4 linked regions of the Struthio camelus genome follow. The protein of the gene in region 1 purifies or fractionates together with the protein of each later gene. This does not show direct contact. Links are inferred from orthologs where the notes say so. Each region holds a gene or a part of one and is shown in the gene's direction. Other genes may lie near its edges. The genes, in order: YBX1, HNRNPR, MRPL1 and nuclear cap-binding protein subunit 1.

The links.
Region 2: the proteins of YBX1 (region 1) and HNRNPR purify together in Homo sapiens (co-immunoprecipitation; 5 studies listed by BioGRID and IntAct, with this or other methods). This does not show direct contact. The link is inferred for Struthio camelus from reciprocal best matches to the Homo sapiens genes YBX1 and HNRNPR.
Region 3: the proteins of YBX1 (region 1) and MRPL1 purify together in Homo sapiens (affinity purification with mass spectrometry; 3 studies listed by BioGRID and IntAct, with this or other methods). This does not show direct contact. The link is inferred for Struthio camelus from reciprocal best matches to the Homo sapiens genes YBX1 and MRPL1.
Region 4: the proteins of YBX1 (region 1) and nuclear cap-binding protein subunit 1 purify together in Homo sapiens (co-immunoprecipitation; 3 studies listed by BioGRID and IntAct, with this or other methods). This does not show direct contact. The link is inferred for Struthio camelus from reciprocal best matches to the Homo sapiens genes YBX1 and NCBP1.

What each region holds. Positions count from the first base shown.
Region 1 is NC_090962.1:12,631,869-12,638,861, reverse strand, and holds the start of YBX1 (Y-box-binding protein 1), read left to right. Parts: upstream 1-3,979; 5' UTR 3,980-4,180; coding exon 4,181-4,337; intron 4,338-4,854; coding exon 4,855-4,918; intron 4,919-6,993. UniProt on the Homo sapiens protein: DNA- and RNA-binding protein involved in various processes, such as translational repression, RNA stabilization, mRNA splicing, DNA repair and transcription regulation.
Region 2 is NC_090964.1:2,706,111-2,713,411, reverse strand, and holds the start of HNRNPR (heterogeneous nuclear ribonucleoprotein R), read left to right. Parts: upstream 1-4,280; 5' UTR 4,281-4,314; coding exon 4,315-4,389; intron 4,390-7,301. UniProt on the Homo sapiens protein: Component of ribonucleosomes, which are complexes of at least 20 other different heterogeneous nuclear ribonucleoproteins (hnRNP). hnRNP play an important role in processing of precursor mRNA in the nucleus.
Region 3 is NC_090945.1:6,149,142-6,156,618, reverse strand, and holds the start of MRPL1 (large ribosomal subunit protein uL1m), read left to right. Parts: upstream 1-4,454; 5' UTR 4,455-4,517; coding exon 4,518-4,635; intron 4,636-4,834; coding exon 4,835-4,925; exon of another isoform or gene 4,926-4,972; intron 4,973-5,324; exon of another isoform or gene 5,325-5,465; intron 5,466-6,121; coding exon 6,122-6,365; intron 6,366-7,477.
Region 4 is NC_090981.1:12,383,281-12,390,256, forward strand, and holds the start of nuclear cap-binding protein subunit 1, read left to right. Parts: upstream 1-3,961; 5' UTR 3,962-4,116; coding exon 4,117-4,150; intron 4,151-5,279; coding exon 5,280-5,365; intron 5,366-6,165; coding exon 6,166-6,266; intron 6,267-6,976. UniProt on the Homo sapiens protein: Component of the cap-binding complex (CBC), which binds cotranscriptionally to the 5'-cap of pre-mRNAs and is involved in various processes such as pre-mRNA splicing, translation regulation, nonsense-mediated mRNA decay, RNA-mediated gene silencing (RNAi) by microRNAs (miRNAs) and mRNA export.

The sequences.
Region 1 (6,993 bases):
ACTCTTCTGGCTAGCAGGGCTTATAGCTTCTTTAGCCACGTGCGTTATCTCTGTTCAGTTCAGTAGGGGACGTTTCTCGTGTGTGGCATTGAGGGGCGTTGCTGCTGGGCGTTCACGAAATGGGAAGAAAGGGGTCTGAAGGGGTGAAAGGAGCATGGCAGAGCTGTGCTACACCAGCTCTTTTCCCACCAGGTAAATAAGGCTGCCTGGCAGAGAGGTTCGTGGTATCCCAGCAATCTTAGAGACCTTTTGCATTCAGCCTTCTCGAAGCACGAGAAATAGGTATGGCGCAAAGGCTTCAGCAGCACGAGCTTGCTGGGCTCTGTAGCGGTATAGAAAGCCAGAGGTGAGTTATGTTGTAAACAAGCATTTGTAAAACCTCCCCAGCATATCTCAGTGCTAGGCTGTGGGGATGATATGTTTTAGGGCATGTCTTTTAGCGGGGAGCACAACAGGTCTTTGGGCTGGGATCTGGGGAGTGATTATGCAGCAGGCGGAGAAATCTGGGCTCCTTGTTCCCCTTGGTGGCAGGGCTGCAGGCTGGTGGGAAAACTGCCTTCCTCCTCTCGGAGACCAGGGTTGCAAGCTCATCTCCCTGCTGCGGGATGAGCTTCGAGGTGAGTTTTCTCATCTGGCGGATTAAATATAAAGGAGCTTGGACAAAGTCTCTTTTGTCACGTGCAACGGCTCCAGCCCATCCTGATTTGCCTCGTCACTCCTTGGGCAGCAGTCTGCTTTATGGCCTTTGCCTAAGGTGTATTGTGCGGGAAGGAGCAGTCTGCACACTTGGCTTGTGCGTTGCTTGGGTGTATTAGATAGCAGGCAGTAATGTACCGGAGGACAGATCCTGCAGGCAAGCTTTGGCGTGCTCTTTTTATCTCCTGGCTATTTAAAGTCTTTGGAGCAGGCTCTGGCTGTCAGGATTTCCATGTCCCAATTCCTGGGATTGCTTGGCTGCAGAGGACGTTTGCCCTCCCTCCTCCCCAGCCCGAGTCATCTCACCTTCTCCTTCCTGTGGTACATCAGGGGATGAAGGAAACATAAAGCGTGCCATCCCTTTCCTCCCCAGGCCCAAACAAACGGCTTAGGGCTCTATCCTATGAGTTGAGGGTTTGAAATTCCCCACACGGAGGAGAAGACTGGGCCCAGATAATAGCTATGAGGTAGTGGTGGCTGAAAAGACATAAACTTACCCGTTGTTCCTGCTCAGGGAACGTGTTCAAACACCCCTTCCCCATGGGGTTGAGGCACGAGCTTAGCTCCAGGCTGCTCAGGGAGCTCTTTTCGCCAGCTGCAGTGCGGAGGGTCGCAGTTCTGGCTGTGGATACTCAAATTCACCGTGCTTTTTCACCAGGGAAACCAGCCTATTTCTGGGTCCAGGCTCAGCAGTGCTTTCACAGCCTGATGTATTTATATCGCTGTGATCAGCTAGTCTCACTTCCCGCATAGCGCTGGTCACAGGACTTCCCCAAATTAATATCCAGCAGTGGCAAATCCATCGCAACCTCTTTGGAAGTTGTTCCAGTGGTTAATTATATCCCCTGTTTACAATGCATGTCTGTCTGTGACTCAACGTGTCGAGCTTCAGCTTTCCAGCCTATGGATCTTGCTGTTCCTTATCTGCAGGTTGAAAGCGCTCTCAAATACCGCCGTTTCAGGTTTAATTCCCAGTGACAAAGTTGCCCTTCAGCCATGTCATGCTAAGCAAATCCTGGAATCTCTCGCTGTAGAGCAGATGTTTCCATCTTGTGATCACTCTTCTCTCTCTGAGCTCCAGCATCTTCCTTGAACTGTGGACAGAGCAGTCCACAGAGCAGTCCGGTTCTTTACTCATCTGAGGATCAGATTAACTTCTCGGTCCTGCAGTGTTGCCCCCCCAAAGACTGCCGTGTCCTGGAGTAAAGTCACTAGCCATTGGGAAGGCCACGTTTTCTTCTGTAGGTGCAAGGCCCTTGCATCCTTGCAGGCTTTATCATCGGGATTTGAAAACATCTTCCCAATCTTTGATAAAACTGATAAATAACTAACTAAATAAGAGTCCTTGTAGGGTCTCTTGCCTGGTGGACTCCCATTTGCCATTACGTTTTAAGACATGTTTTTTAATTGAATTACTAAGCATCATCCTGCTTTGATATCTTTCTAGTTTCTTAATCAGGGTCGTGACACTGAGGCAAATGCCCTGCAGAAGTGCTCTTAACGCTCTTCCCTGCCTTGGCAGAGCTGGAGATCTCACGGAGAAGATACCAAGTTGGTCTGATGAGATCTATGTCCGTAAACCCCCATCGGCTGGCGGCAATTATAGTGCTCTCTGCAAATCGTCCGTTAATCAAGGCCTGTATCAGCCGTCCCTTTATTTTGCCTGGGAATTGCCGTCAGACCGGCCTCTAATTACCCAGGTTTGTGGTACGTATGCACTGAGGTGCCCTCCCTGCCTCGCTCACGTTGTCTATGGAAGATTGCCGGCCATGCAGGGCAGCCTGAACCAGCGGGAGCAGTCGCGGGCTCCAGGTCCGCCCGTCGGACGTTTCAGGTCGAGCAGGCTCTTCGCTGAATCCTCGAGAGGCGAAGGCTGTGGGGCTCAGCGAGGGCGAAGCTGCCACGTGGCCAAGCAGAGAATTAATCCTCCCTTCAGGGTAACGTCTCCGCGGGAGATCGGCATCGCTAAGCGCTACCTTACCCGAGCCCCGCAGGCGGCTGTGGCGCAGCGTCGGCGGCCGCGGCCCCCGGCTCGTCCTTTTGGCCCTGGGATGGGGAAAGCCGATGCTGAAGGGTTGGTGCCGGGGGGATGCTCGGCGCACGAGGAGGCTCGTTTTCCCTGCACCTTCCTTTTGGAGAGTCCAACGGGTGCTTTCTGGGATCGCTCTGAGCCGCTGGAAGGCAAAGATTAGGGATGGAGACAAAACATGGTCATTTGAGCAAGGCTCCGTGAAGATAAAACACCCCACGCCGACGCTTTCCGCAGTCCCTGCCCGGCGAGGAGACTTTGGTGGGGGCGAGCTGATGCACGACCAGGTTTGAAGGGTGCGTCGGGCAGCTCCCGCCTTTCGGCGGGCGACGCCGGGCCCGTTTCCCCCCTCCTCGCCGCGGGAGCCGGCGAAGAGCTGCCGACCGCTGCCCGCCGCCTTCCCGCCGCGGGGCTCGAGACCGGGTCCACGGCGTCGCTTCGAACGCCGACCGCGGCGCTTTCGCAGTTCGTTATCCGGCAGCGCGGCGGTCCCTGGGAGCACGCTATTTCTCAGGAGGTTGGATTATAACGCTTTAACTGCATATAATTATATATTGAAAAAAGCTTTGTCGTGTCTCCAGATCCATTATTTTCTACTTTTAATTAACACTCGCAGGCTTGTTTCTTGAGACGACGACGACGATGATTATTTTTTTAATGGGAGCTGCCTGCCTCGGGGGAAAAGCTGGGATTGCATCTCGCTCTTGTAACAGGGCGGCAGGCGGGGGCAGCACGTCCGCTCACTTTGTCCCACATTTTTCAAGCGAGGCGAAATGCCACCGGTGCGTCCTTTGGAGCACGGTCCGGTGACATCCCGGGTCTGGGACCGGGGGCGACGGGCACCGACCGGGACCGGCACCGGGGACAGCGGACGGGGTCCGGGTCCGGGTCCCGGTGCCGGTCCGGGCAGGGGGCGCGGCGGCGGCGGCGGCGGCGGCGGCGGCGGCGGCGGGAGGCGCCCGCGGCCACGTGGTCTCGGGCACTTCCCCGGCCTGGCCGGGGGAGAGGGGCGGGAGCAACGGCGGAGCTGACCAATCCGCTTGCGGGGGCGGGTCCCGCCAGGGGGCTGGCAAGAAAAAGGAGCCTGGCAGCTCCGAGCCAGAGCAGCCAATGGGCTTGCGGCTTTGGTAAAGGGCAGGTGCTTCCCCCAATAGGAGCTTTAGCGCCGGCCGCGGGGTGGAGGGGAGAAGGCCAATGAGCTCGCGCGCTGCCGAACGGGCAGGCCGCTCGGCGAATGGCCGCGCTGGGGGGCGGGGCGTGCGGAGTGGCTAGCCGGTGCGGGCCGCCATTGTGGTCAGTTCGATCGGTATCGGGAGCGGAGAGCGGAGCTCAGCGAGCCCGGAGCAGGGAGCAGCCCCCCCCCCCCCCCAACGGCCGGCCTCAGTCACCATCACACCGCGGGAGGCGGCGCAAACAGCTAGTCACCACCACCGTCCGCACCGAACAGCCGCCGCCATGAGCAGCGAGGCCGAGACCCAGCCGCCCGCCGCCCCCGTCCCCGCGGCGGCCCCCGCCGCCCCCGCCGACTCCAAACCTAACGGCGGCACCGGGAACGGGGCCAGCGGCCTGGCCTCGGCGGCGCCTCCCGCCGGCGGGGACAAGAAGGTCATCGGTGAGGGGAGGGGTCCGCGGCGGCGGTGGGGAGGGAGGGCCTGGGCGGCGCGGCGCGGCCCCCCCCTTCCCCTCCCCCACCTTCTCCCCCCTCAGGGCGGCGCGAGCCCCTGCGCGCGCGCGCGCGGGCGCGGCCGTTGGGCGCCTCGCGCGCGGCCGTTGGGCGCCCCCCCCCCCTCCCCTCCCGCGCGCGCCGCCGGGCCCCGCGTGGCGGCGGCGGCGGCGGGTGGGGGCGGGAGGGGAGGGGCGGAGCGGGCGCGGAGCGACTCAAAATGTCCGCCACGCGGGGCCCTTTGTGTGAGACCCGCCCCGCCACGTGCCGCCGGCAGCGCCGGGCCGGGCCGGGCCTGCCCGCTCCGCTCCTCTCGGTTCGGCTCCAGCGGGCCGAGCGGATGGGGGGGGGGGCGGGAGGGAGGTGATGATGAGGGTAGTGAAGGGCGGGGGGGGGAAACCAAGCGAGGCCGCCGCGCCGGGCCTACCCGCAGCTTACGGCTCTTTCTCTCTGCCTCTTCTCGCAGCAACGAAGGTTTTGGGAACAGTGAAATGGTTCAACGTAAGGAACGGTTACGGCTTCATCAACAGGTGAGGCGGGTTTTGGTGGGGAGGGGGGGTTCTCCTTGAGGCCGCCGGGCTCGGCAGCTTGCTTGGAGTTTTGTTCCCCTCTGAGGGAGTTCTTGCTCTGGGAAACGGCTCTCCTGTCCCCGCTCCCCGCCCCGAGCACGCGCCCAGTTTGTTCTGGCGTTCCTTCCTAGGTGTTTAGCGCGGCGGGGCGGGGGGGGGAACTCTAACAAGAGCTCCCCTTGCCCCCACCAGCACCCCTGAGAAGTCCTAGGAGGGCAGCAGGGTTTCTTGCTGGAGTGTGTGGAGAGAGGGCTTTTTTTTTGTTTTTATTACTAGTGCTATTTTTTTCTTCAATGAGCGTTGCTTTGACTTGCCCTCTGGGCCAAGCAGACGTTGGACCCAAGATCAAGTGTACTTCTGAGTAACACGTGCGTGCTGCGCGTGGTTCATATCTGGTTGTTTTACGCTGGGGCACTAGGCTCGTATAACACCAGGGGCTGCAGATAAACACCTTTATCACTTCTAGTGCCTGCTTGGTGACACTTTCCAGGAGCAACTGATAAGGTGTGTCCTACCTCTGTTGCATGATCATTCACCCTTACTGTGTGTTTGTTTTGTTCTTTTTTTTTTTTTTAAAAGCACTTCAGCGAGGCTCTTACCAAAAGGGATGTAGTGGATTTGTTTTCGTAGTGCTACCTCTTATATTAAGTGTATGTGTGTTTTTTTTTCCTTTTTTCTATTAGAGTATAAAAATCAACTGATGTGCACAAAATATTTCTTTAGCTTCTGTATAGAGTTCAGTAACATCAATGCAAGCAATTGTTTGAGACACTAGGTAGTTGCTCTCTTGAGGGAACTCTGAATGCCTGGGGAAATGTGTAAAACTCATTCCTTATATCATGAAACTAGAGCATGTAAGAAATTCTCAAAAAAAAAAAAAAAGATGCCTAAAAGATTCAGCGATTGACTTGAGAATTTCAGTGCTTAGTTTGAGGTGTTTACCTGAACTCTTAACATAGCAGTGAGCTGTCTAGTGATGACTTGGCAGAGGTGTGCTAGAATTGCTCTACAAATCAGTTCTGGAAAAATGTAATGTTCTTCTACCAGTCTGGAGTGCTTCAGTGCGGTTTATTTTTTGGAGGCCATAATATTAAAAACTATTGTCCTTAAACACCTAATACCACTTCCTTCCTTTGGAGCGAAGCATCTATTAGAAACTTAATTAATGGGGTAAGCCACAAGATACCTGTAGTTCCTCCTATAGGTTGTTTTTGCCTTTCTAAACAGAGGGCTCTCGAATGAGAATAAGCGTTGCATGTAAGCTCTAGCAAGTTAAGACTGAAACAAGTTGAAAGATGTAATTAGAGCTGTGAGCCCTCAAAACAAATGTTTCAGAAATTGGCAAAAGACTTGGAAATCTTTACTCGGGGATGCAAGCAAAGGTATTGGGGATTTTATTGGGTTTTTTATTTAGATTTGCTTTAAGTATTGCCCTTTTAGCTCTCTGTGTTACTTTGTGACCCAGTCTTAAGTATCTACCAAGCTCCTTACTTGGTTTTGTGTCTGTAACTTTAAAAACTTGACTCTGAGTCTGCCCAGTTTAAGTTAAATGCATTCTTCATGTGTAGTTTGAATGTTAAGTATTGAACAGTTGTCAGTATTACGAGCTTTAGCATCTGTGACGTTTGTAACTGGCTATAAAGTCAAAGGGCACAAACTCTACCTCTAGGGAAGACTTTTTTCCTGTTCCACTCAGTGGTGGAAATGCTCAGTTATGTGAGTCAAGCAAGGAAGTAACAGCAGGTAGTTAAGACATCTGAATAGTTTTCCCACTCATATTAATTTGGCAGCTGTTTGATCCCTGAGGTTGCCATTTTAATGAGAAACCCAGCATGATCTCATGTTATCGAGAGATTAGAGCTGCAGTCTGAGAATTGAACTTGAGGACATTTCCACAGCTCAGGAATCTCTCTGGCTTGCTTTAAGGAAGACATTGCAAGAGCTCCTGATCTTGCTTGTCTTTGCCTCAACTGGGTCTGCTTGCAGATAAGTTCAGCTTGGATAGGGGTGCATATTAGCTTCAAATATTTCCTGTT
Region 2 (7,301 bases), on another chromosome or scaffold:
CTGCTATACGTGTGAGAGACTCTGCTCCTTGGAAACCTAGGGTTGAACTGTTTCCACAACAGCAGAAAAGGAGATACCAGCTATGGACCGTGGCTGCTTCAGTGCTTGTAGTTTGTTGCAGACTAAAACATCGCCTCCTGTTTGTATTGGCACTGGGGCTGTATGAATCAACTATCTCTAAGATGGTTATAGGTCTCTGCTGCCCTGTTAAGGGGTGATTTCCTGGTAGCAGTGAATAAAAGCACAAGTAGGGGACTAAACATTTATCATTTGATAGGGGAGGATTGCAAGGAGGATATAGAACCAGGCCTGGAGAAATTCCTGTCTTCCAAGTTAGTGGAGTTCAGAACAGGAGTTCTGGAATCCAGTGTGACAGTGGAGGACAGGGGGCAGTTGTCTTTTAGAAACCATTACTCCCTAATTGTCAACTATTTTGAGGCAACTCGGGTGCTGAGCGCCAGCACTTGGAGCTGATATTTGAGATGTGTTAAGACTGTGAAGATGATGCTATGCACAAGCTTCTTCCCAAGATGCTTAATTTGGGCTGCATCCTGCACAATCTGATGGAAATTGCTAAGACTCCTTGGCTGTGGGGCAGGGGCAAAAGCAACGAGAGAGAGAGAGAGAGAGAGAGAGAGTCTGAAACCTTGCCTCTAAATTGATAGGACCTGCTCAATCTGCTTGCATTGACTTGTATTACCATGAAGGAATGAATTCTAGTAAATAAAATTGCCTCCCTTTGATGTATCCAAGGTCTTCAACAAGCTGTTTTAGTGCAAGGTCCGCAGGTTACCCATTCTGGTTTCTTTGGGCTGTTTTGTCACTCTAGCCCTCCCCACTCCAGAACAGACAGGGGAAGGAGGTATGACAGAGCAAATGCTTATATTTAAAATGTATTATTTCCCTAAAATCAAAGACACTGGCTCTGTGCAAGGCAAAATAAACTTATGTGCAGAAATTAACAGGGTAATACTAGCAGCATGGCATCCCTAGGCAGCCATTTTCCTGAGCATTTCCCTGCTTTAAGGAGTGGAACTTGTTGGGGGCTTCCTCATTGATAAATAAGGACTGTAGAATGTCCGTGAGGCAGCAAGTTTTGTTGCCTGTCTTTCCAGATTGATGCAAGCCAGCTCCCTGCAGCAGAGATTAACCACCTTCTTGGTTCTAAGGTGGTCTTTGTTCTGCCTTGCTTTGGCCCAGGAATAGTTCAGGTCTTGCGTGCATCTGTTTGTTTTCAACCACACAGAGCTGTAAATAGCATAATTCCAGGAATTTCTAGCAATATCTCTTTGAAATTACTCTTTGTTCCAGACCATCTAGGACCTCCTTTCAGGCCCAGCTTGCTGGCTGGCACTGAACTCTACTACCTGCAGGCCATAGCTTGTTCCTGTCTAGAGATGTTCAGTGTTTAGATCTTTTTGGTCGAGGCTATTGTATGGAGCACGAGACCAAAAAGCTGAACAGCTGCCCAAGCACATGCAGATGCTAGCGGGGGTAATAGATATACTGGAGTGATGTACCAGAACCCAGTCCAAAAGCCAAGGGACTAGAGATATCTACAGCCAGCATGAAGCTCTAGTACTTCTATACTAGATGGCAATACAACAGCAGATGCTCTCTTCTCATGTCCAGAAGCCTCTAACAGTCAAGCATCCAGAAGACCCCCCCCCCCCAAAAAAAAAAAAAAAAAAGAAACCACCAAGGAAAGAACCTCCATGGGTGAAAATGGAGAGAAGGACCATCTTCAACTGGGGGAAGAGACTGGTATGATTCATCATAGGTTGATAACCACAAACATACCAGCAGTTGTGGCTTCATGTCAGAATTAGGTCAGATCCATTACAGCAGCATGCATCACATCGTAGATGATTTTCATGCTGTTTTTGCTGTTCATGCTGTCAAACCATGTTTAATTACAAATTCTATCCTATGAACACCAATTTATGGCTGAAATTAATAATCTCCTAGCAGGAAAATAGCATGCTAAAGTCTTGTTCTGGCAAAGACATGGCAGGCTTAACACAATATCAATATGAATTCTGATTATGAAATGAGAACTACCCAAAAACCCCTACCCCACCCCAAAGCCCATAGCCTGCTAATGCTCACAACTACCTGCATACAATTAATTACCCTTGGAAAACACCCATGCAGAAATGATGAAAAAGTGCCAAATTAAAAGCCTTAAAGGCATTTCTGACAATGACTACCTTAGAAATCTTCCTGATTCTTCCTGAATCTACCAAGATTTGGTAGTGCTTAGCAACTGAAATTACTTTACTAAAAGTGTACCTACCTCAATATAAATTTTGCTCTAGTCTCATCATGTTCAGTTGTCAGCTAACAGTAGGTATGTTAGTACTCTGTATTTCACTCCTGGATGCGACATCATAAGATATTTTGAAGAGCTTTGCAGAATGTTTATTAAGCACCACTGAAGTGACAGATGTGCATGTAAACATCCCTCAATTTCTCTCAAATTTTGTGCTGGGAGAACTCCTTAAACCTATTATTCTTGACTCCCAAACAGTCGGATCAACTGCTGCAGTGAACTTGTATGGATGAAGCAATGAATAATGTTCCCTTGCATCTTTATGCCACACTAGACCCTACCTTCAACAAAGAAAAGCTGTCACTGTTGCCAAATTTGGAGATAGAATTCATAGAGCCAGTACAGGTTTCACAAGAGAACAAGCATGTCTGCCATGAGACAGGTTCAACAAGATAGACTGCTTACCTCTGATATCTGTATGAGTTCACTTCTGGCTTCTGGCTCAAAAAAAGCTTCTTTCATTTACAGCAGGTAACATGTACAGTTTTTATCTATGTTCCATTTAAGGGCGATGGAAATATGCACACTTAATACATTGCACAGATACATGCAGTCTTCTGAAGAGTGTCACTTTGTCATTAAACTGTTGGAAGAACCTTCTGAAAGCATGAGAGGCTACTGTTTTTCTTTACTTACCAGACTCAAGAGTGATGGTTCACCTGGCCATCTATGTACATAGATGCTCTGGATTCACTTTCACACAATATTCTGGGACTCACCTTGACCTCAAAGCACAAAACAGTTATTCTCATGTCATGCAACTGTAGGCTGAGGAAATGGAAGTCAGCACAACACTTTGTGGCCTAGGAAAAACAACATCACAGCCAAGAAGCTGACTTCCCACAGAACTGTGTATTTAATGCATCAGGTCTACACCCATCAAATAGACTGATCAAGCAGACAGACCAGGTAAGCAGGCAAGTTACATATAATCACAGATGAATTATCTAGAAACCAGCATACCTCACACAGATATCCTTTCAGGGAAGGCTCTGAACCAGGATTCTTGCTGCTACACACCTTTCCCTCTTTACTCCGGACCTGGAAGCCAAATCTACTAACGGCCTCAGATTAACTTACCAGTAATATCAATGCAGGCTGGCTCTCATCTCCAGTAAAGCTTACCAGTCTTTCCTAGCATGGCCAGTGGCTTCACCCGGCAACAAAAAAAAAACCCTACAACTGACATATAGTGCTGTGCTAAACCTCATGCTATCTTAGCTAGCCAGCAGGACTTTACTGGATAGACCTACATGGCCAAGGAAAAACTACTGGAGCAGCAGGATACGGACAGCAAATTCTTCAAGACAGAAAAGCAGCATTTGCACAGAAAGCATAATTTAACAAGAAGCAGCCTCCAGGAGAGGCAATACTAGGGCCCTGGTCCCTCATGCATGAGGCAGGCCTCAATCAGAGCCGTTGGGCTGAGGCAGCAATCCCTCCCGCAGGCAGGGCCCGGGCCGCGCTGTGAATTCCTCACACGCGGCCCCCGGGACACCCACCGGCCTCAGGGCTAGGATTAACCCCGACGGGCAACGCCTTCAGCCGGTGGCTGTCTGCCCCAGGGCCCCAGTCACCACCCGGGATGAGCCACCTCGGGCAGCACCCAGCCGCAGGCCCTGGCGCGCAGGCGACGCCCGGCCGCCGGGGGCGGGGCCCGGCCGCAGGCGCGCGAGGGCCCAGGGCGGGACGCCCCCCGCGCACCCGTCCCGCTCCCTTTGTTCGCAAGGCTACGGGCGGCGCTGCCCCTTTAAATCCCCCCAGCTCGGTCCCTGCCGGCGCGCCGGGCTGAAAGCGCGGCGCGATTGGCTATAGAGCCTCCCTCTCATTGGCATCTGGGAATAGCTGCGCCACCCGCCTCCCGCTTCTCATAGGCGCTGCCGGCTGCCTGTCTGAAGTGCGAGTCCCTGAGTGGGTGAAGCAGCGGTCCCTGGAAACAGTTCCGGGAAACCCCGCGTGTTGCCGGGGTCGCGTCGCCGTCCATGAGGAGAAGGAGGAGCGCGCGCCATTTGCCGTCGCTGCTTGGGCCCGAGCTGCGCCGCGCAGGCCCCGCTCCGGTTAGTCTCCGGGGGGTGCCGATGGTGTCGGGGGGCCGCCTCGGTCGGGGGAGGAGGAGCGGGCTCGCGGGCAGGCCCTGCGGCGGGGTGGCAGGCGCGGGCTCCGCCTAGGCCCGGCGTTGACGGAGGCGGGCCTGGGGCGCCCGCGCCGCGTAGGCGAAGCGGGACTGCGGCGCCGCTGGTGCCCGGGCACGGTGTCTGCTGCGCAGGCCCCGGCGGAGCGGGCGGGTGGACCGCGCGCGGGAGCGGGTGCTGGGGAGCGGCCGGGGGCGGGCCCTATGGCCTCGGGGGGGGGAGGACGGCCCGGCGGCCCGGCGCGGGCCCTGCATGGGGAGGGCAGCGCGGCCGGAGGCCGCCCTGGCTCCGCCCGGCCTTGCGGATTAGCCTTGCATGTGGCTGGGGAGGAAGCGTGGCGGGAGCTGTTCTTGCGGTACTGCTAACGATGGCTGCCGTGTGTCCCTCTGCGCTGGGAGTTAAGCCCTTTCTCGATCCCCTCTTGGGCAGTGTGGAAAAACAGTATTTTAACAGCTCAGACGCCCTGATAGGCAGCTGTCGTGGTTACTGTCCGATCTGTGCCGCATTATGCGTGTGGGGAATTGGAAAAGACTTTGACAGAAAACGCATCGCTGTTGCCAGCGCTATGAATAACTCTCTGAAATCTTGTAGAGCGCATTTTGATACTGCTGGCTGTAGGGAGGGAGAACTGCACTGCATCTTCTCGCAGCTCTCAGGTTGGCACTTAGTATTTTGTTTGAGACAGTAACACTTGCTAAATGCTCTGAAGGAAGCATTGTTGCAAGGACATTGGTTTTCTTAAGTGTTCTTTACCAAAAGATCTTTACCAAACCTTAAACGAAGCCTTTTTTAAATCCCCCTCCTTTTTTTTTTTTTTTTTTTCACGTGGTTCTAGTTACTGGATCTTAGCGACCTTGTTACCTATTAATTCTTGGACGTGGCTAATCATATACTTGAGCTGTACTGGACTAAGCTTTTCTTTGAGGAAAGTTGCTTGCATTCCGCCCACCCCCCAGTATCTCACTGAAGGATCCTACCAGCATGATATTTTTGGGCTGCAAAGGGAGTTAATGTATATGAAGTTGTTGGGTTTTTTTTTTTTTGTTTAAGATTATACTTTGTATAGCACTGAATTATTTTATGTGTCTTCTAAAAGTAAAGACCATCTAACCAGAGTTTTACAGTGTAATTTCACTATGTAAACTGTAATGTTTGCAAACTAGCAGAGGCTAGATGACATTTTTCTATCTTAGAAACTATATTTTTCCATGAGTGTTTAATATCCTTACCTCTCAGTTTTTTATCTAGATGTGATCCCTATTGGGATAATATTTGAGCCTCCCACTAATACTCAATAGTTTTGTCGAAAGAAGCAATGCTCCCTGCTCTCATAGACAAAGATCTGCAAAACTTTCTAAGGACAAGTTCATCAGAATAATGCTCACTTTTGCTGAAGTGTTGTTTTGAACTAGAATGTTATGGACGTTGTTCTGTACAACCCAGACAATCAGGTGAGCCATAAAAGGCCAGCTCCAGGTAGAAATTAGGGTACGTAGATTTTTATAGCTCAGGTTAGCAAAACGTGGTAGGTACTGAATCAGTCAGTGCTGTATTTTAATGGCACTGATGGCTTTTGTGCACATTGCTAACCTGTTGTGGTAGAGTCATCTCTTGATGGAGGGACTGCTTATACTTGCATAGGTAATGAAGCGTAGTTTCTGTGGGGACTGTGCTAGTCTTTTGGTTAGGATAATGATGGAGGTTCTCAGGTTTTTTTTTTTTTTTTTTTTTTCATTCCATGGCATTATGGAATGGGAAAGACAAAACTGTGCTGGAGGGGTGAGGGTGCTAACTACTCATCGTTGTAAAGGTAGTCTGTCAATGAGATGCTGGTAAGAAAACTTTGCTAATGTGTAAAGGCCATTACTTCTAAAGATGTGATAACTTCAAAACAAGTCTTCTTATATGACATACTAAAATGTTCATTAGTATGATATAATTAAACTACTAAAATACGCTTTCCGTGATTGAATAAGCTATAGTTGAAACGAAATGGCTATAATCCTCGCACAAAGAAATGTTAAGGGATATGCTAGTCACTTTTGTGAACAAGTGAGGTTTTAATAAACTCCCAGTTGAGTTTCCTAATCTAAGATCCTTTCTTCCCCTTGCTCATAAATTTCTTCGTGTTTTGACAGAAACCTTAAGTGCAAGACTGATGATATTTTTCTGGGGACTAAATTTGTTTTCTTGAGGTTCATTTAAAAAAAAAAAATCAGACTCAGTCTAACATCCCCCCCCTCCCCCAATTCTATTTTTAATGTAGTCTAATTATTGTTTTTTCTCTTTAGACCCTGCAGGCTATGTATTCAATAGGAGGATTAGTAACATAAGCAACTTGAAATGGCTTTGGTGCAGAGTTTTTATGTATGACTTATGCTTCCTGTCCACCTTTGCTAAACAAGTACAGTTTAGTTCCTTTGCAAAATCAAAGTTAAACAGTAGAAGGCTGAGAACCGTATTGTTGGATAATCACTGCAAAGTTGGTTATAGTAGTTTAAAATATTATTGTCCTTCTGCCAGAAGTTTCCATTTCTGCTCATTTAAGCTGTTACTGAACATGTTTTGAATTAACTAGACTGAATTTATAATTAATTGGATGGAAGTATGCTCAGCTAGTCTGAGGGTGGCAGCCTCTAGAGGGATGGTATAAAAAATAGGAGATAATAACACTATGGCGGTTTCATCAATGATTATCTGTTAAGGGCTGAGATCAAGTTTCTGTTTTAATATGCCAAATGCTATCATGGTCAGGTGTATATTAATTCATTTTTTCTTGGTGGAAAAATACTATTTGAACCATTTGAGTTGTTTAAGCATGGGGGAGGGGGAATTGT
Region 3 (7,477 bases), on another chromosome or scaffold:
AGGCAGCTGCTTACAGTACGAGAGTCCCCGCTACCCTGCTCGCCCTGAATAAGGGATCAAGCAGTCTGAAGCGTAGTGCTGTGGAAACAAAAAACGCGACGTACAGGAAGTCGGATCGAGCCTCTGTGCTCGTACGCAGCACAAAGTAAACCTCAGATGTGAAGCGTGCCTTTCGCTCTTCTGAAGCGCCGCTAGCACGTGACTGCACCTAAAATAGGCTATGTTTTGGAAGATCAACAGTTGTTAATACGAGCTTCACCATCGCTTCGTATTTTGATAGGGACAATACGGAAACAAAACCAGCGACAGCGCTATACTTGTCAAGGCCATACCCCGTCTTTGTCAAAGCTTTTGGCACTCCAGACTCTCATACAGCTTCTAGGAATTCCCTGACTTTTGTCACAGCAAAGACTTTGTTATTAGAAATAATGTACTTTCTCTTTTTTTTTTTGTAAGTACCGGGGCAAAAACATCCCAAAGGAGCGGCAGAGGCTAAGAACAGACATGTTGCCATCGTTTTCACTACCAACCATGTCTACGCACACCAAAAGTGTAACTGTGAGCGATTTCAGTATCAGGTGTTTTCCCCTCCAGGTTAGTTTTAGGCTGCCGGGGAACGAATCTGTGCTAAGCTGAAAACAGAGTATTGCAGACCGAGGATGATGCAGGTATAAATTTAACGCAGGCAGAAATCCCATCTTAAGAAAACCCTCTGCTTAGATGAGGCCGCCCTCCGTTCCGCGTAAAACCCTCCTCAGCGGGCCAGGCGACGAGAAGTCCTAACTCCGCAAGCGAACACTTCCGTCTGCTCAAAGTTTCAAAAACCGGCAGATAAAAGGCTGCTCGCCCGGAGGTTTTAAGCGGGTCAGATAAAATTCGGTGCGGCTGTTCAACAGCCAGAAAGCCGCCGAGGCCTCTGCCGTGTTTACCAAGGGTACGCGAGTTAAAAATAAAATGAAATAAAATAATCTGCTGAAAAACAAAACAAAACAAAACAAAAACCAAAACACGCTTTGCGTTCGTAGGCGTTATTTACAAGCGCTAGCGCCCGAGCTCGCTTTTACGGAAGGCGAGACGTCTTTAGCCCTACTAAGAGGTGGGTTAAGGGAGGCGGGGGGGGGGGGTAAAGAAAATAAAAAAGCCATGATAAGAGCATCTCGGGGGGGGGGGCACAAAACGAGCCTCGACTCGGCGGGGGGGGCGGGGAGGGAAGGGGGGGGGTCGGGCACGCTGCCGGCCCAAAAGCCTCTCCCTCCCCGCGGGCCGACGCCGAGTGAGACGTCTGTAACCTATAGACCAAGGGACCTATAGCGCGATGGGAGGCGGCGGTGGCGCCGGGCTCGGGCGCCGCCATTTCGGGCGCGGGCTGGGGGGGGGGGGGCCGCGGCCCCTTCCTCCCTCCCTCCCTCCCTCCCTCCCTCCCCCCACCCCCACCCTCGCCCCCCATTTTGGGGCGCCCCCCGGGGGGCCGCTGTTTGGGGGTTGGGGGGGGGAGGCTCTCCCCCCTACCCCGCACAGTCCGGGCGCAGAGGAGGCGGCGCGGCCGCCGCGCACACGGCGGCGGGTGCTGGCCCCGGTGCTGGCAGCGGCTGGCGGGGCCCGACATGGCGGCGGGGTTTCCTCGCTCACCTGCATGCAGCGCGGCGGGGCGGCGGCGGGGCCGGCGGCGGCGGCGGTGGTGGCGGCAGGGCGGCGGGGCGGCGGGCAGCCACGACATGCAGGCGGCGGCCCGCCGGGGAGCGGCGCCGGGCCGGGCCGGGACGGGAGCGGCGGCGGCGGCGGCGGCGGCGGGCTCGGGCCGCGGCTGGGCTGGCGCGGAGGGCGGAGGAGCGGGAGGTGGGGACGGGCGGGGGCGGGGGCGGCGGGAGGCGGGCGGCGGCGCGATGCCGGGGCCGCCCGGGGCGGGGGGGGCAGGAGGAGGCCGCCGCCTCCGCGCTGCCGGCCCGGCCCGGGGGGCGCCCGGCCCGGCCCGGCCCGGCCCGGCGGCTCCGCTCTCAACGGCGGGGGCGGGCGGCCGCGCACACACACTCACTCACACACACCGGGGGTTGTGTCAGCGCACACAGTTGTGTCACCACATAGTTGTGTCTGCGCGCGCACACACACACACACACACACACAGAGGGTTGTGTCACCACACACACAGGAGCGTTTCACACACACACACACACGGTTGTGTCACCACACACACACACACACACACACACACACACACACACACACGGGGTTGTGTCAACACGCACACACATAGTTGTGTCACCACATAGTTGTGTCTGCACACACACACACACACACACACACACAGGGTTGTGTCACCACACACACACACACACACACACACACACACGGGGTTGTGTCAGCACGCACACACATACACAGTTGTGTCACCACATAGTTGTGTCTGCACACACACACACACACACAGAGGGTTGTGTCACCACACACACAGGAGCGTTTCACACACACACACACGGTTGTGTCACCACACACACACACACACACACACACACAGGGTTGTGTCAACACGCACACACATACACAGTTGTGTCACCACATAGTTGTGTCTGCACACACACACACACACAGAGGGTTGTGTCACCACACACACAAGAGCGTTTCACACACACACGGTTGTGTCACCACACACACACACACACACACGGGGTTGTGTCAACATGCACACACATAGTTGTGTCACCACATAGTTGTGTCTGCACACACACACACACACACACACACACACACACACACACACACACACACACACACACACACACAGAGGGTTGTGTCACCACACACACAGGAGCGTTTCACACACACACACGGTTGTGTCACCACACACACACACACACACACACACACACACACACACAGAGGGTTGTGTCACCACACACACAGGAGCGTTTCACACACACACACGGTTGTGTCACCACACACACACACACACACACACACACACACACACACACAGGGTTGTGTCAACACGCACACACATACACAGTTGTGTCACCACATAGTTGTGTCTGCACACACACACACAGAGGGTTGTGTCACCACACACACACACACACACGGGGTTGTGTCAACACGCACACACATACACAGTTGTGTCACCACATAGTTGTGTCTGCACACACACACACACACACACACACACAGAGGGTTGTGTCACCACACACACAGGAGCGTTTCACACACACACACGGTTGTGTCACCACACACACACACACACACACACGGGGTTGTGTCAACACGCACACACATACACAGTTGTGTCACCACATAGTTGTGTCTGCACACACACACACACACACAGAGGGTTGTGTCACCACACACACAGGAGCGTTTCACACACACACACGGTTGTGTCACCACACACACACACACACACGGGGTTGTGTCAACACGCACACACATATACAGTTGTGTCACCACATAGTTGTGTCTGCACACACACACACACACACACACACACACACAGAGGGTTGTGTCACCACACACACAGGAGCGTTTCACACACACACACACACACACACACACACACACACACACACGGGGTTGTGTCAACACGCACACACACACACAGTTGTGTCACCACATAGTTGTGTCTGCACACACACACACACATATGGGGTTGTGTCACTACACATACTCAGGGTTGTGTCAACACATGTACACGGTTGTGTCACTACACAGTTGTGTCACCACCCCCCCATGCACAGGGCTGTGTCACCACACACACACACAGGGTTGTGTCAGCGCAAACACGGGGGCATTTCACACAGACACGGTTGTGTCACCACATACACGGTTGTGTCACCACACACAAGAGGAGCATTTCACACACACACAGTTGTGTCACACACTCCCCCCACAGGGTTGTGTCACCACACACAGGAGCATTTCACACACAGTTGTGTCTCCACACACACACACAGACACGGTTGTGTCACCACACACACTGGGGTTGAGTCAACACACACACACACAGAGTTGTGTCACCACAGTTTTGTCTGCACGTGCACACATATGGGGTTGTGTCACCACACACATGGGGTTTTGTCAGAACTTGTACACGGTTGTGTCACTACACAGTTGTTTCACCCTCCCCCCCCCCAAAACAGGGCTGTGTCACCACACACAAGACACATATGGGTTTGTGTCACCACACACACACATACATGGGGTTGTGTCACCACACACACACACACACTCTCTCACACGCACACATGCACACACACACGCGCGTGCACACACAGAGTTGTGTCACCACACTCACACACTCTCACACACTCATACTCACACACACACTCTCATACACACACGCTCACGCACACACGCACACTCACGCTCACACACGCACACTCACACTCACTCACAGCCCCGCTGCAGGCGCGGAGGGCCCTGTCCCGCCCCCGCCCCCGCCCCCCCCCCCCGGCCCCGCGAGCGCTCTGGGCCGGCCCAAGCCGACCGCGGCCCTCGCGGCCAGGGCTTCGGGCCAGCTGCGCCGGACGGCTATGGAGGTGGCACCGCGGCGGCGCTTCCGCCCGCCGCCGGGGACCGCTTTGCGCGCTGCACCGCGGCGGCCCGGCAAGATGGCGGCGGCGGGGGCGGCCGGGCGCTGCTTGTGGCGAGGTGATGGGGCTCGGCCGCCTCGCGGTTGTAACGGGGGGGGGGGGGGGTAAGGCTCGGGCCTGCGGCAGCCACCTGGTCGGTGGGGGTGGGGGCTGGTGCTGTGAGGGGCGGCGGGCGACTGTTGGCGTTTGCCCGCGGGAGGCCCCGGGCCCGTCTGAGGCGTTTGTTTTTTTTTTTTCCCTTTTGCGTTTTCTCGCAGTGCTGGCGCCGCGTCGCGGGGCGCCTCCTCTCGGGCTCCAGCGGTGCCTCCCGGCCGCCCCGCCGCTCGGCAGGCCCTACGCTGCCGCCAAGTGAGTGCGTCTCCGTCCGACAGCGGGGCGGGCCCCTAAAACCCCGTGTAAGGGCGCCTCGGTGGGTCGCGGTGGTGCTTCGGGCCTTGCTGTAACGGCCGAGCCGGCGTTAGGGGCTCCTTCCGGGCGGCTGTCGACCAGGGAGCCGGGCTGGGGGGAGAACAGCCGAGCTGGGGCCCCTCAGAGGGTTTTACTGATGCTCTTGAAATACCATGTGTAACAGCTCTGGGGAAAGACTTATTCCATTTATTGGTAGTGTATTTTTGAGAACGTATGGCTGAATTACAGCTAAACGGATAGTGTCACTATGAAAGCTAGGGAGCTTAGGAAATTGGTTTCAAACAATTCATCTTTTCCCTTCCATCTGTTTTTCACGGCTTTGCTTACTGTTTCTTTAAGTATGACACTACTGCATAAGTAGAAGAAGGAAAAATTAACTCTGTGTGCAGAACAGTGAAGCATACTGCACGTGAAGTGTTCTGAAGTGTTGTTACCTCTTCGCTATAGTTCAAACTGGAACAGAGAGCTCTTCAAATAGAAGTACTCTTCTATTCCTGTAACTTTTTGTTTGTTTGTTTTTGTTGGTTTGCGAGTGTTTTAAAATAGGTAGCAAAATAAAGATTTGGGGCTTCTACTCATTAAGCATGTATAGAACGATCTGGGGAAAGGGAAGAACCTCCCTTGTGAGCGAAGGCAAGACTGCTGTGTTGCACTGGGGGGGGGGGGGGGGCAAAACCTGCACCACAGCTGATGGGCCTTTTTCTGATTACTGGGAAGGTGTGTAGGGTTTACTGAGATTCGGAAGCAACCCAGGCACAATGCCTGGTACAAGCCCTGTTGGGGCAAGACCTGTAAAGGTCTGTGTGTTGTCTTAAAGTGGTTCTGCTTTGATACATTAAGGGCTTATTGACTCGATTGGGTGCTGCACAAATGTGACTATACTGTTTGTGGTGCTTAGTTCTCTTCACAGCTTTTCATTTTTGAATGTTTGATTTCTGTTTCAGACATCTGAAAAGAAGGCATTATTAAGCTTAATTTAGGCATGTTATTCATGGTTCTGTGTGCAGTGCCTATCATGGTAACTAATGATTAGGCAGTAACTGACACATGATGGTATCTGTTGCTTTTGGAACATGTGCCAAATGCTTTGGTTGATGAGCTAATATGTCTTTTTTTTTTTATTTGCTTTGTCTCAGAACTGCAAAGAAAAGTTCACAGAAGCCTAAGCAGGAAGAAACAAAAAAGAAAAAGAGAACTATCAGACAGCCGCTGATGAGCAAGCCAGTGGATGATGTATACTTAACATGGTGTTATGAGCGGCCATCCTATGATGTAGAAGTGGCTGTGGGTATGCTAAAGAAATTTCAGGAGTTGGACTTCACTTACCCAAAACAGTATGTGTATGTTAACATAACTCTGGATATGGCATTACAGAAGAAGGTAAATAGGAAGTGGTTACAAATTTTCATGTCAACGCTGCAAGGGTGTGTTTTAAGTGTAGTGTAAACGTTGATGTTGGCCTTCTCAGCTGTCTCCTGCAGCTTCCCTGTTTGTCAGAATATTAAGCACTTTTGCAGGTGACACTGAGTCCTGACCCACGTGTATGCAATAAACATCCCTCAGATTCATGGAGTGAGGATGGAGTCATGAACACATCTGAAGACAGGCTGTCCTGTGACTGCAACTCAAGTCCAAGCAGAAGTGATCAAAATAAGCTTTATGTCTGTCTAGGGCTTTCAACTTAACTTGTAAACGTGCTCATTTTTAATAACATGACATGCATCTTTTCTGTAATGTTTCCAATGCTTTTTCACCCATACTGTGTTTGATAGCTCTGTAGTTATAAGCTTACTGGTATTGGTGGGAATAACTGGTATGGGGAGAAGTGTAAAGACAAACACATTTTTCCCATCTCTGTCCACACCTTGTTCTTTTTTGCTAGTCATGCCCTTTGGAAGTATGCTGTTTTTTATTCCCATGTGATGGTTTTGCTGCTACGGTTGGGAATGCTGAATGTACACCACTTGTGGGTGTGGGTGTGTGTTTGTTTTTTTTTTTTTTTAAATCAAGAGTCAGTGGAAGGGAAGTATATACAGAGAAGGAAGAAATACATAGAAAGGACCTTATTTTACCTTATTTTATGCTCTGTTTCCTGGAACCTCTGGGGTTCATGCATGTACCAAATTACATGACTGCAGGAAAGAGTTACTGGCATCCTCAGTGATTCCTGGAAGATGCTTCTACTTACCTTCACAACTGTAGTAGCAGCTGTTCCGCTCCTGGTCTGTGTGACAGACTGGCTTCGAATTCAGAGCAGAGTTGTTACCTTGGCATGGCATTCCAGTTAAGCTGGAAGACCCTAATTTTTAGATTGGCTGTTTAGGGAGTGCCTTACTGCTGTCTGGTTACCTGGCTTGGATTCATGTCTCTAAAGTTTTTCAGAAGACATGGGTGTGAAGAAATCAGAGAAAGCACGGTGAATCTCTCTGTGCTAGGTGACATCTCTTGCCCTCTCCGTTTCTTTGGCGGCTGTCAGGAATCGAACCTGTGTG
Region 4 (6,976 bases), on another chromosome or scaffold:
CTTTCTCTTGGTGGAGGAGGATCAGATTAGGGACCACTTAAACAAACTGGATAGACGCAAGTCCATGGGCCCTGATGGGAAGCACCTGAGAGTGTTGAAAGAGCTGGCCAATGTCATTGTGAAGCCACTCAATTATCGTTTAAAGGTCATAGCTATGGGGGGAGGGGGCCTGAGGACTAGAAGTAAGCAAATAACAAACCTATCTTCAAGAAGCCAAGAAGGAGGATCCAGGGAACTACAGGCTGGTCAGCCTCACCTCGATCCCTGGATAGGTGATGGAGCAACTAATCCTGGAAACCGTTTCCAGGCACATGAAGGACAAGAAGGTGATCGGGAGTAGTCAGCATGGATTCACAAAAGGGAAATCATGCTTAACCAACCTGATATCCTTCTATGATGAGATGACTGGCTTGGTGGATGAGGGGAGAGCAGTGGATGTTGTTTATCTTGACTTTAGTAAGGCTTTTGACATGGTCTCCCATAACATCCTTACAGACAAGCTGATGAAGTATGGGCTAGAGAAGTGGACAGTGAGGTAGATTGAAAATGGGCTCAGAAGGTAGTGATCAGCAGAGCATCCAGCTGGAGGCCAGTCCCTAGTGGTGTCCTCCAGGGGTCAATACTTCTTCTACATCTTCATTAATGACCTGAATGATGGGACAGAGTGCACCCTCAGCAAGTTTGCTGATGATACTAAACTGGGGGGAGAGGCTAACACACCAGAAGACTGTGCTGCCCTTCAGAGGGACCTGGACAGGCTGGAGAGCTGGGCAGAGAGGAACCTCATGAAGTTCCACAAAGGCAAGTGCAGGGTCCTGCACCTGGGGAGGAATAACCCCATGCACCAGTACAGGCTGGGGGCTGACCTGCTGGAAAGCAGCTCTGCAGGGAGGGACCTGGGAGTCCTGGTGGACCACAAGTTGACCATGAGCCAGCAATGTGCCCTTGTGGCCAAGAAGGCCAATTGGATCCTGGGGTGCATGAGGCAGAGTGTTGCCAGCTGGTTGAGAGATGTGATTCTTCCCCTCTTCTCAGCCCTGGTGAGGCCACACCTGGAGTCCTGTGTCCAATTCTGGGCTCCCCAGTACAAGAAAGACATGGGTTTACTGGAGAGAGTCCAGCAAAGGGCCACAAAAATTAAGGGACTGGAGCATCTCTCATATGAGGAGAGGCTGAGGGAGCTGGGATTGTTTAGCCTAGAGATTAGGCTCAGGAAGGATCTTATCAATGTGTATAAATATCTGATGGGAGGATGTCAAGGGGACAGGGCCAGACTCTTCTCCGTGGTGCCCAGTGACAGGACAAGAGGCAATGGGCACAAACTGAAACACAGGAAGTTCCATCTGAACATAAGAAAACCCTTTTTTTACTGTGAGGGTGATTGAACACTGGAATAGGCTGCCCAGAGAAGTTGTGGAGTCTCCATCCTTGCTGACTCTGCTTGAGCAGGGGGGTTGGACCAGATGCTCTCTGGAGGTCTCTTCCAACCTCAACTACTCTGTGATTCTGTGATTAGTGTGTCATTAAAAGCTACATTTGAAAAATTTGTATCCTTAGAATCCAATTACTTGAATTATCTAAATTATAAGCTACCAATTGTTCAAAGGGATAGATTTTGGTTGCATTCTGAGGAGTACAAGCTGGACTCTCATGTGTAGGAAGATTCTTCTCCATCTACTTATTCATACCTGAGGAGCCCTTAACATACCTGCAAGGGAGGAGAAAAGCGATCTATGTAGAGCATGACCTACTATTCCTACTCCCTCCTGTTGCTGGCTTTCCTTGCTGAGTGTCTGTTTATGGACATGAGGTGTAGAGCAACACTAGCACAGGTCTGCTTTGACACTGCAGGAAAAATACAGTTCTGGGGATTTGATCCTGTAAAACCCCCATCTTTGGCATTGATTATACCAGTATAAAGTGGAGGCAAATGCTTCTGTATCAGCACAGCAGTAATGCTTTGTGCAGGTGTAAGCAGTTGTGAAAGGTGCTCAAGAGTAGGAATGAGTTCAAGGAAACTGGATGAATCTTAGAGGGGATCTAAACCAGCTGAGTAAAGGAAGATCTAAAGCTAAGGTCTTTTCTATACCTCTAAGTTTCACTTGTCTAAATTTCATTTTAAAAAATACAAAGTTAAACTTGTGCAAGGTGATGTGAGATGTGAGCCAGATGCAAGCCTGCTTACAGCAAGTAAGTTTTTCAAATTGTCAAGGGATTTTCTTACCTTGTTAGATCATCAAAGCTAATGTGGCTTGTGTCTGGGAGCCTACCAGAAACCTTGGGACTGCCATGAGTGTGCCCACTTAGCATATTTGCCACGTCTGCAGAAGCTGGGTTACTCAATGATGTACTAGCTTCGTCAACCATCTTAAAATTAAACTTATTTGTTGCCCAGTGTCAGTGGAATGCTGTGTAGCAACATGTCTGTGAGTACTAGAGAGGTCTTTAAATGTTTGCAGCACTTCCACCATACTCTATCTCCAAAGATGGATGCAGGGCACTTAGTTATCAGAGCAAAGGAAGTGTCAGCCACAAACAGGGAAAATGCCTGAAACATATCACAAATATAATCTCTTAGGATTTATGTTGCTTCCTGGATCCTGTCAATTAACTGTTTTGATGGCCCAAAGCTAGATAAAAGAGAAATCCTGATAACCCATGTGGTACTTAAATAAGCTTGTTTGGGTAAATAAATAGTTGCCCATCAGAGATGCTGTTTCTGTTGATGCTTTCAAGTTTACCTATCAGGGATCCCAAGGTTGGGAACAGGGGTGCAAGCAGGGCCAGGTTAGGCAGGGCTGACACTACCGTTCCATACTGAGGACAAGACCAAGCCCCTCAGGAATAACACCTTCTTTCTCTCAAAGTGTTTTCCTGGGAGCGTCACATTCCTGTTTGTACCTGTTGTTTCCTGGGACTCTCAGCAATGAGGCAATACAAAACCACTACTGGACCCTGACTGCTTAGCTCACAGAAATGCACACTTCCCAGTGCAATCCCAGCCAGTCTGAGGCACACATTCCCTTAGAATCAGCTAATCCCAGGCAGCAGCCTTGGAGAAATGTACCCCATTTACTTTAGGGTGGCAGGAGGGAAGCAATGCTCTGATGTGTTGCATAATCAAGGTGTGCAGGAACACAAGTTGATGACAGGTCAGCAGTGCCTGTTCCCCATCCTCGGGACAACTAAGCGTTACATTTGAATCACAACTCCGGCCTCACACAGCCTCTCCAGTGGCCAACAGTCCTCGGCTGCCCGACGTGGCACCACCTCTCAGGTGCCCCCTCCTGGAGGCAGCAAGGAGGTACCCCTCCCTGTACTTGCAGGGCTCTCCCATGCCCCTGGGGGATGACATGGGGGCTGAAGAAAGGGGCACGTGGTCTCTCCAGCCATTTGATTGTAGAGGGACAGCAGGGATGCATACGGCTGTACCTGGATCTTGTTGGCCTGCTTTCACCAATGCGTGGGGCCAGTCTCCAGCGGGGGGGAGGGGGAAGGAGCTTAAGCTTAGTGCAGTGTTAGCACTGCACCCCAAAGTACCACGTCTGAGATCTCATCTCACTCAGCAGGGAGAATCACACATCTCCCCAATCCCTGCATCCATCACTTTTCCATCGCCCTGGAAACGCTTCGTGGGAGGGACCCAGCAGCATTCTCGATCCAGCGGCTCAGGTAATATACATGCCACCAGGCGTCAGCAAGACAGCCCAAGAGTGGGGCCCACAGTGCGCAATTCACACGCATGGTGGGCCGTCTTAGCCTTCAAGAGAGGCTAGGTGCGAGCCAGATGGAATAAGTGAATTTCACTTCATCGATAATTAACTAACTTTGTGTCTATTCTTTTCCCCATTTTAGAAATCATCCGAGTTCCTAGTACTATGGAGAAGCAGGTAGAGCAGCGCCCACTCCCATAGAGTTGCGGAAGTCAGGAGAAGAGAAGACAGTAGCTTTTCCTCCTGCTCTTTTACCCCGGAAGAAGACTGAGGCAAACAGGAAGTAGGGAAATACTCTGATCCTTGTTGCATAGTCTCTATATAGTGCTCTTCCTTCTTGCCTCCTGCTGTGGGGTACGGTATTCCTGCTTCTCTGCAGATTTTGTGCAGTGGCAGTGCTGATATGTCACGGCGGCGGCACAGTGACGAGAGTGATGGTAAGCGTGGATGGATGGAGTACCAGGGTCTGGACTCCGCATGCCCTGTGCTTGGGGCCGCGTCGTCCTTGGGGCTGGGGGAGGAACAGATCTCAGCTGAAGTGCCTTTTCCCCTCCTCCTCCTCCTCCTTCCCCCCCCCGCGGCGCTGCCTTGCCTTAGACTCGGGGTGGTAGGGATTCACTCTGTCCCTCTGCCAGGACTTGGTCCTGCTCGTCGCCCTACGGGACGCTGTAGTGAGGCGCTCCATGGGGTGCAGGATCGTTCCTGGGCCGCCTTTCCTAGCTGTTTGGCTGGGGACAACCTGGCGCCACTGTGGGGCGCTCTGGTGTAAGGACCTGGCTTGTGTAACTAGGGCTACAGACTGTCCCTAAGCAGTCTCTTGGGTCCGCCCTAAATATAGGGAGTAGCAAACTGATCGGAGCACGCTGCGCTGCGTACGGATCGCCAGAAGGACATGTTCTTGTATCTTGTAAAGGCTTTCATGAAAAACGTTCAGAAAACATTCATATTGGAGGACTAGAGACGGCTTCAGAAACTGAAACGGATGTTTCTTTTAATAACGTAATTCTGCATTAGTGGAGAATGGGACAGTTTCATGACCAGCTTTTTCAACTTTTAATTGCAAAGATAAACACTCTAAAAAACACTCTATGTGTTTTTTAACTACACTCTTTTTTCTTAATTGTTTTGATGTGCAGTCTTTTTCTAAGCTTTCAAAAAAACCCTAATAATATAAGCAAGGATTCTTAAAATATTTTATTTTTTCATATGCTGAAAGCATGTGAAAAAGCACTAAGGAAATATGAAATAGCTGGTAACTCTAATGTGGGTTTAGCTTATCCCACATATACTGTCTCACACTGTAGCAGAAATGCAGAATTAACCCTAAATAAAATTTGAGATAGCTACAATGTTAACTGTTTATGCTTCATGGACTAGGTCATCAGTAATATGGGTATACTTCTGTTTTTCATGTTTATTGGGTCAATCTTGAATGCTTTGTCAGTTTTGGGGTTTTTTGTTTGTTTGTTTTTAATAGTATGTTGCTGGAATGGCAAAAGTATATAGAGAACTTTTTTCTTTTTTAAAAAGCAGGCAGCTAATAACATATTTAATGTATTGAAACAGGGCAACCTCACAAAAGGAGGAGAACATCTGAGCCATCTGAAATCGAGGAGAGACTTGAATCTTTAATATGCAGGGTGGGAGAAAAGGTATCAGTACTATTTCCATGTTGTTTTGTGGCTTAGGGTCCTTAAACATAATAGATTGTTTTCTTTGTTTTATATGCTGCTATGTGTTAGTAGTTCACTAGTGGTCCAAAAAGAGAAAATCCTTATCTGAGATCAGTTGGAAACTTTTTAACTGGAAAATTGTTGGCCTTTGCAAAACTGGATTTTTAAAAAGGAAATTCTTAAATGTTAAACCTTTGATACATTGGTGAAGTATAACTAATAAAGAGGTATCATTCAAAATCTGTGAACATTATCATTAATTTCCCCCTACTCCTTGGAAAATTTGAAAGCAATGAGATGCGTACAAAAAAAAAAAGAAAAAAGTCTAGCCGTGTTACAACTGATCTTGGAACCTGGCTGGGTTTGGTGTTAGTAACAAGTGGAGAGAAAAAAGGATGAGGACAAAAATGATGGGTCTTAACATTAATTTAGCCACATACAAGCTGTGAAGTTCTTTCACTTCCCCTGATGTCATTAATATAATGTTTAATTCAGTTATTGAGAGATCTCTGAGGCTATGTTAACCCTTGCTTCCCAGGAAAGCACTAGAGCTCCTTGCTGTGGAGAACTCACAATTGAGACTGTTCTTAGTCATTTCTACTTCTTATTTCTAGCAAATGAGAGAGATTGTGCATTCCTAATGGATTTGAATAATTACTTCCAACAAGAAGAAAATGTGAAGTAATATTTTGTTTCATCTGATTTGCTTGTCTTCCAGTTGTTACTGAGGGGATAGTTGATATGCCTGATTGATGCGGAAACACTGTTTTCTTTCTTAGAGTACTTCCTCTCTGGAGAGCAACTTGGAGGGCCTAGCTGGTGTCTTGGAAGCTGATCTACCAAACTATAAAAGCAAGATTTTGAGAATTCTTTGTACTGTGTACGTATGCAGGAGATTTGTGAGATGCTCTGTTATCTATATTAAATAGATAAGTTTAAGTATTTTAAGTACTTTAAATGCTGTGAAGAGCTGTTAGTTCTTGAACACTGTTATAGCTTAGGGTTTGTCTTACTCCAGGCAAGAGAAATTTGAGAAGAAGCTTAGTCAGTAGTAGATATAAATCAAGGAAAATGCCTCTGTACAGTACTCTCACTTGAAATGTGTGCACAAGGTCATAAGCAGATAGAGTAGACCCCAGAGCTGCTTTCTGACTGCCATGGGGAATATGCTGGGTAGTATCTTGTTTCTGAATGCAACAGTCACTAAAAAAATACCAAATCGATTGAGTGCCAGTTCTTATCTCTGTATTCCTACTTTGCCTATTCCCCTTTTCTGGGGCTGAGGTGCTCCTGTCTCCATGAGCCCACCATCTAGTAGTGGAGAGACAAAGTAGCCAGAAGTAGGCTCCTTCCTTGGCTAGCAGCACTCCTTCTTCTCCCTAGCAAAGCACTGAAACAAAACTTCTTTGTGTGTTGGGTCACTGGTCACGTGTCCCAGGAGAGGGTTGTGTGGGGTCCACAATAGTATACCACGCTGGGGGAGGATGCGGTGCCAGCTTGTGTTATAGCTGCATGGAATCTTTCAAATCCATTTTGTAGCACTGTTCATAAACATAAATCAAACAGTAAATGTTTCCCACAGCAGCTGAA